Arabidopsis thaliana: one gene and its partner. The protein of the gene in region 1 interacts with the protein of each later gene in a pairwise test. Each region holds a gene or a part of one and is shown on either strand. Other genes may lie near its edges.

Region 1 (4,290 bases):
TTCATATATCATAATGTATACCTGTTAAAATCAAGAAAATCACCATATAAGTGATGAAACCAGTAGCATTTACACTTTTAGCCATTTTCACTTTTAATTTCTTCTTTTTGATTGAATGCTTTACATATGTAGAAAAATCATCTAACTGTTGTATATAAAGATTTTGTTTTCTAAAAAACGAGAAGATAATGTAGTCCATAAAAAATGCCTATAAATTAGTTAGAGATGAAGAAAAAGTATAAATTTGATGGAACACATATTTCCTCCCCCATTTTTTTCGATCGTTAATTTAGTTTTACCAAAATTAAAAGTCACTACTCTTTTCTAAATAAATATGTAACTAATAGATTGTTTATTGTCCACAACTTATAAGAACTTGTAATCTAATCCACTTATTTCCCAAAAACCGTTTGAACTCACAACTCCTGCCCATCTCCCTAAAGGTAAAAACCGTCTTTCCAACCCACCAAGAATGGCAAATCCACAAGCCAATTCAATAATTGGCATATCCACATATTTTGGACCAACAAATTAAATGGCATTTTGAACAATATAATCTCAAGATTTTACAAGGTCTTAAAAACATTTTAGAATCTTTGTAAGAACCTTTCAAAACTTTTAAACAATTTGTAAAATCTATAAAAGGTTTTTAGAAGGTTAAGGTTGTGATAAGATTTTAAAGGTTTTTAAAATTAACTTCAGAAAGTATTATAAATTGTTTGAAAACTTACATTTGTATAACTTGATAGCAACAATGACAAGTTCTTGTGTACTTTTGCATCATACTCATCCATCTCGTACTCCATGGTGTCACTAGTGGAAAAATAAAAAAAAATCCATGCTTCCAAGGTGGGACATTTACTCATTTGTAAAATTACAAGAATTATAAGCTCTTCCAAACTAACCACTTTGGACCCTTATTTCTCATTCAAATTAAATTCGATTTTGACATAGAAATGCACTTTTTATAGTGTTCAAAGTCATTGGAAATTTAGCCGGACTTATGAGAACTCTTGCAATTTATTTGTCTCCAATCATACAAAACAAATAATTTCAGAATTAATTACCAAAATAAGTGAGAATCAACAACATTGGTCAAATCAAATACTCTTGCAATTCCTCTACAAATTTATCCACGTAACCAGTTAATAATCCATGACTACCAAGAGTCTCCTTCAATTTGGCGTGGTTACTCCTCACTAGCTTTCCGAGGTCGCTATCTTTATCCATCACAGACTTGATCGCATCGCTCAAGCTCTCCTTTGAAAACCATCCTGTTTTTTCTCTCGACACTTCTACAGACACCTTGAATTCCTCGGTCATCAATCTTGTGAAGAGAACTTGATCACCTAAAAATGGAAGCAAAACCATTTGACAATCAGTCATAAGACACTCCCATATTGTTCCCGGACCACAATGGTTCACAAAGCAGCCTATTGACGGATGATCCAATATCAATGGTTGTTGCACCCATCCTCCCCAAACCACACCACGCCCTTTCACCCGCTCCTGGAACCCTTCTGGTAACCCTTCTTCGACCGTCGATGATCCTCTCGGTGGCTTTACCGCTATAAGAAACGGTAAACCTGTCAGCTCCATCCCTAAGCAGAGTTCTTGGAATTGATCCTTTTCAAGAACGATCTGGCTACCAAGTGCACAAAACACCACTGACCTCGGTGGGAACCTGCTCAGAAAATGACTCAACTGTTCTTCTAGTGGTTTACTTGTGTCTTGCTCAGGGAGCATTGGACCAGTCAAGAGAACCTTCTTATGGTATTGACTTGATATATAGTCGCAGAATTTACCTTCGATTTCATTACATGTCCTCAATGCAATGATGTCACAGCTCTTAAAACCTGTAGTGATCTGATGATAAAGTCTCTTGTAGAAGATAGATAAGGTTGCTAAGGCATGAGCATCGTTTTCACGGTACAACACCTTTGATGAAGGATAACCTGGTGGGGGAACACCTAATACACCACCAGGGGCAAATGTATAAGCTATTGTTGTTGCAGATACTATCATGTAACTCACACTCTTGATCATATGCTCTTTGGCAATTTCTGGAATCCAATGAGCAAAATCAAAAAAGATCAAGTCCGGTCTCAGAGCACGAACCGCAGCTTCAACCTGATCGCGAGTGAGATCCAAGGCTTCCGACAGTAAGTTGTCCATCGAGATTGAGATATCCGAGGTTGTCTCAGCACCAGCAGGGAGGCCATTGACATGAGGGATTGTGAGAGGGTGAAAGACAATACTGTCTGGGAACAGATTGTGATGTTCCAACTGTTTTTGGGCTTTCTTAGGTAGCAAGAAAGTGATTTGATGACCTTTCTCAGCTAGTTTGTTTGCAAGATGTAGAAAAGGAATCATATGACCAAAAGCAAACCAGGGAAACATAAAAGCATGGAACGTTGGCTCCATTTCCTTTCCCAAATTGTAAAAAACGAAAACAAGATAAAACAAGTATTCAAGAACTCAAAATGAAGTATCTGTTTTTTTTTTCCTTGGTCTCTTGCGTTAATAGTTGTGCACTAAAACGCCCTTATTATGATCTTGGAGATTGGTTAGGTGAAGCACATGTGTCAGAAGAAAATAAAATAGCTAATTATAAGTAGAATAACTACAAAAAACAAGTCATCAAGAGAACAAATCCAATTATTCACTACAAGAAATAAGTCACAAGACAGCCAAGACGAACAGGTGTCAGAAAAAAATGATATTAATTAAGAGAATATCGTGAAGACGAATTCCACTAAAATCGAGCTAATAATAATTAATTACTCCCTTGTATATAAAAAATGATTTTTCTGAGATTTTATTCTTGTATCAAAAAGATTGATTCCTTATAGTATATTTAAAGCAGATTTTACTTTTTTTTTTTAAAAACAAAACTGAATTTAAAAGTATATTTAAGGGTGCATTTTTATTTTTATTTTACTTTTGAATAGAAGCGGAGTAAAAAACTACTAAAAATTACAAGATTTTACACAAATAATTAATTAATGCACCATTTATTATTTCCTTAATTTTGGTGAAAAACTCAGGAAATCATTTTTCTGAAGGAGTATAATTTTCTTTTGGTTTTATCGGTTTCATAAGATTATAAGAAGCATGTACTTCTTTGTTTTGTTTTTCCTTCGTCCATTTAAGGGTGTTTCAGTGAAGAAACATTTATCGGTTTCACAAGAAGCATTTACTTCTTAATACCATAAACATCTAACAAACGAGAACAAAACAAAAGAAAGTTAATCTATCGAAAAGGACAGCGTCATTTACTCATTTAACACGTTGATTGATTCACCTAATCCCTCACTAACCTATCCCACCTAATCAGTCTCAAAGTTCATTTAGAGGTGTTTTTTTTGCTTTTATTCTTCTTCCAAAAACACGTTAATTAATTTTTGCGGGGACGATTTATTTGTTAAAAATAGTAATTTATAAATATTTAATGATTATGTGTTCTATATAAAATTTTATAATAGTATTATTTTATAAGAAATTTAAATTTATAGTTTACAATTATTATTAAGCAATGGTATACCACAAAATAATTTTTATTTATACAATCGTATTTAAATCAGGTTGATTCGATATGTCTAGTTATCACTGTGTTAAAAAATAATATATGAGAGTTTAACTCTTATTGAAATGTAGTTAATGATATTTAAAATTTTTATTAATTTAAAAGTGTCCTGCCATATAACACGTCTCGCATTATAATTTGTCATGTGCTCTCTTTTTTAATATGTTCAAATATTCATAATATTATTAAAATTTGATTGATTTTAATATGTCCCATATTGGAGAAACAGGTTAATGATATTTTAAAATTTATATTAATGTTGCTTCAAAACCAGTTCCGTTAAGCCATCATAAAACCTCGTCCCTCAATATAATTTTTCCCGTGTAATTTTTTATTTTTATATGTTCATAATATTATAAACTTTCTATTGCTTCCAAATATATCTATCTTAATATTTATGGTAAAATGAAACAGTTTAACTAAAACCTAAACTAACCCGTATACAAACTTGTAAATTTTAATGCTTGTTAAGTGAAGGTTCATGCTCATTTGGACTTGGATTTACTTTGATCTTATTTATAATGTGACTTTTGAATCATTGTCTAAACATTATAGATGATGTGTGACGTTGAACATATTTTTTCATTAATTGGGTAATATAGTACCGTTTTTAAAATTGTGAATCATAATATATACAGAAAAATTGGGGTTTTTGGAAGTTTATATACTATATGATTCTTCAAAGTAGTTAAAAAAATATCAAA
Region 2 (4,150 bases), on another chromosome or scaffold:
TGATTGTGCATATCCACACATAGTCACATATAGTATTTATATAGTAATAATTTCATCAAAAGGTATTGTTTTTTGAATTTCAAAGATTTCCTTTTCATGGCCTGTTGATGACACATGACAACTAATCAAAGTTTCCTAATCACACACCTCACCTTGGTGAATCTGTACTTACAAAATCTTGCAATTTTTAATACATACAAAAGTTCAAATACTAGTTTTTTTTATTGTGTATGAAGAAGATCTCTAGATATGGAAATTTATTTGCTATAATCAGAACAAATATAAATTAAACATAGCATAAAATCTTAATTTAGATAGATTGTTAAATTACTCAGTGTGGTCAGAACAAAATGTTAGGCTCTTATCATAAATTTCTGTTTCTAAACTTACTACCAGCCTTTAACCAAAACAGGTCCAACTAATCATGAGCTGGTTAATTCATTGTCCCAGTATTGAATAAGGTTTACCTAAATCCAGTTATTTCTTTTTTCATATCATGAATAAACAACCACTGTTTTAAATATAAATCAAATAATAATTAAATACAACTTTGGAAATATTATATTATATAGAGAGGCCCAATAAAAGAGTATGTTGAAGCCCAAACAAGTTATATAACATATCTAAAGGCCCATTTTATACAACAAACATTCAAATCAAAGAAACGGTGCGGTTTACCGTTTGGCTGAATCAAGCACACACCAAACACATCTAGTCATTTACAATCTGAAACAGCTTTCAATAAACAATGATATTGATTTGGCATTTTGACTTAAATGCAAACTACTTTAGTTTCATCACAGTAGAGTAATCTCTATAGCTCTAAGCTAGAGATATCGTAAGAAGAGAACAATCTAGTTTCTAGTATAAAACTGTAGTCTGACAAGAAATTTGCTTTACTTGGAAGAATATTTCCTCTGTATATATACACAAACGTGTAGAGGAGTTTTCATCAATCATCATCATCATCACCACACCAATCTAACTAATACTATTTGAAGCGTGAACCCTTCTTCCCTTTACCATTACCTTTGCTGCCTCTTCCTTGTAAAGCCGAAGCCCAAAAGAAGAGAGAGATCCAAATTAGTACTGAAAGAAAGATCTTTACACGGTCTTGAATCATCGACGCTACTCCCACAAGACCTACACAAAATGTGATACCAAACAACAACTATGAATCCAAATTGTTAAGAAGATTGCTCTCGTATTGCAACCAATGACTAAACCTGTAGGGAAAAGAAAATGGTGGAACTTTTGGAAGACATTCACAAGTTGTAAAAGGAGGAGATTTATAAATCCTTAATGCTTAACAAGAGTAAAAGTCTATAAATTGTCACAAAGATCAAAACTTTAGCAATGAACAGTAATCGATCTTGAGGACTAAGATTAACATCTTTATCTACGAATCAATAGCAGTTAAACCACCTTCATTCTCCTAATTCGAATTCCGTAATGCAATTTCATCGAATTAGGAAAGATTGAAAAATAGAATTGGCAGTAAACAAAATCAGAACTCAGAGTTGAAACATTGAAGTTTTAAGGGTAAGAAGGGAAAGACGAACTTGTGAGCTCAGTCGTGTTTTTAGGCGGAGGTGGGTCGGGACTAGGCGGCGTTGGAGGGCCGAGAGGAGCGACCGCGATGCGTCGTACAGGTTTTGGAGTGGGGACGAGGAAAAGGGTCTGAGAAGGAAGTGGAGACGACCGGAACGGTGAAAAGAACGACGGAGATGGAAGAGGATGGTTTTTACGGCAGCGATGGAGGTAAAGGTTGGAGCTTGAAGTCGTGTTGGCAAACGCCGTCGCCATTTTCTTCACAAGGTATTTTGGACCTTGTTTTGTTTTCTCATTATTTTAATTTTAATTTATGTATACATTATCAAAAAAATGTTTTTGGTTTTTTCCTTCTTAATACCAAACTAAAAGAAGGAAAATGAAATATTTTCTATAATTTTCCACAAACTATTGAAATATCATGCATTTTTGTTTAACATAAATATTGTGTTTTCTTGACGACAAAAAAAAAAAATATTGTGTTTTCTTTAAAGAAACTGAACTCTGACAATACACTAAAATACTGTACTTATTAATAAATAAATAATTTAATGTATAACATAACTTGTCTATAAAGAAAAATATTTCATAGTATAGTATAGCAAATCCACAATTATTAATACAAAATTTACAAATAAAATTTTGATATGAGGTACAAAAATGGACTTCTTGTTTAATATATCAACATTTTTGTGTTCATGACGTGAATTAGCAATTTACTCCATTGAGCCATTCGCATAGAAAACATAAAAGGGACACAACATTTGCTGCTTCTTTTAATTAATTTTGGCTTCTTTCTTTTGCGAAAATTAACTATGCTGAATAACAATTTATTCCATTCTCATTACAAACACAAAACTGGTTCATTCTTTGCTTGTTCAATTAGTCTATAATGTATTTTCTAGCTTCTTTTGTTTGCGCAAATGAACTAAGTTAATTAGCAACTTAATAACTGATTCCATTCGCATAAACATAAAAAAGGTACAACATTAATTTGCTTAGTCCATCAAAGAACACAAAAACGACACCGTATCTCTTCTACTCAACAGAAATCTCCTGAACATTCTTCTTTGGCTTCTCCGTCCTAGGAATCACAAGATTAAGCACACCATTCTTGAGCTCCGCCTTAATGTCCTCAACCTTAGCATCATCAGGCAACGATAAGCTCGTGTTGTAGTAACCATAACTCTTTGAAGACCAGTACTCGTCTTCCTCAGGTGAGCCTTTCTCTTCCTCCGCCTTGTGATCTCCTTTAATCGTCAAGATTCCATCATTTACCGTGATCTTCACGTCTTCTTTGGTTAGCCCTGGAACCTCGTATCTGAGCTTGTAACAGTCGTCTTGCTCTTTCACTTGACCCATTAGTTGGAATGGATTCACGTTGAAGTTGTCGAAAATTCTGTTCATATTCTCTGTTGCTTGTATCAGAGTATTTCCTATAGTCGGAGGAAAGAACTCTGTTTTAAGAAGAAGAAAAAATTCAATTCAAGCAAAAATAGAGGTTTACATTAATTATGTTTCATGAGATTTAATGCAATGAAAATGTAAATTTAAAATTTGATGTATTTTTATGATTCTAGAATTTCAAATTTTCTTCTTAATTTTTCTTTTATGGGATATATTTTACACTTAAATGTTGAATTTTTTTTATATAATTTATTTCGAAAATATTATTATTGTGACACTATTGAAATTTTCTGCTAAATAGGTATATCAATAATGAACTAAAATGACAAACGTACCATTTAGGGTGGGAGTGAAGTAGCCATGATCGTCGGTGTTACGCCAGAGGCTTTTTCGGCCACGTCTCCGGGGGAAATTCTGTCGAGGAGATTTCTTCTCAGACACACTCACTTCTGTGTTCATCTTATCCTCTTGTTCACCAGCCGAAGTAGCCATGAATCTGTTTAGCTTCATTGGATTATGTCGATTTCCGACCAAACCTCTTTCACAAGATTGACCCATCAAACTAGGAGACAGTTTTTGTTGAAGGTTTCTCAAAGCCAGACGAGCTAGAGCCATTGTTTTCAAATCGGTAAATTTCTTAATTTTTGTCTTCTTGTCTTCTTTTTTGTGAGTTTGCAAGAAAAAGGCAAGAAGTGTTTGGTTTATAAAGATGGGATTAGGGTTTATGCTAAAAGGTTGGTTTCTAAGAGGTGTTAGAAGTTTCTAAGAGTTTCTGGTTCATTTGGGAACATAAAACAGAGATGCTTCTTGTTTCTTCTACAGCCCTTTTTCTAGATAATCACAACAAGGTTATTTTATTATCAATATTTGTTTTCTTTGAATAGTTAAAACGAAGAAAATCATGACACAAGACCAACCGCCTTGACCTTGCAATTCCTAGAAAGTAGAAAGACCCAAAATCTTTCAAATTATTCTTGAAATTTGTTTTTGGATAACTTATTTCAACAAAACTAACAACATAATTAATATAAATATAGTCATATGGATTTTGGTTTTGTGTTAAGAACATTAAATGAATGTCAAACAATTGTGTCGATCAATATTTTATCAAAAACAAAAAAAAACAATTGTTTCGATCCAAACTTCTAATGGTAACTCTGTCCCCAATCTTTTTTTATAAATCAACTCTGCA

The links. Proteins that work in one complex are often made in the same cells at the same time.
Region 2: the proteins of AT2G22930 (region 1) and AT1G52550 interact in a protein complementation assay, tested with the Arabidopsis thaliana proteins (one large-scale study listed by BioGRID).

The regions. Positions count from the first base shown.
Region 1 is NC_003071.7:9,757,900-9,762,189, reverse strand, and holds AT2G22930 (UDP-Glycosyltransferase superfamily protein), read right to left. Parts: upstream 2,596-4,290; 5' UTR 2,425-2,595; coding exon 1,096-2,424; 3' UTR 950-1,095; downstream 1-949. Other genes in the region: AT2G22941 (Defensin-like (DEFL) family protein), read right to left, coding at 22-85; AT2G22940 (uncharacterized protein), read left to right, coding at 444-535.
Region 2 is NC_003070.9:19,572,194-19,576,343, forward strand, and holds AT1G52550 (uncharacterized protein), read right to left. Parts: upstream 1,867-4,150; 5' UTR 1,807-1,866; coding exon 1,563-1,806; intron 1,144-1,562; coding exon 992-1,143; 3' UTR 562-991; downstream 1-561. Other genes in the region: AT1G52560 (HSP20-like chaperones superfamily protein), read right to left, coding at 2,590-3,008, 3,294-3,573.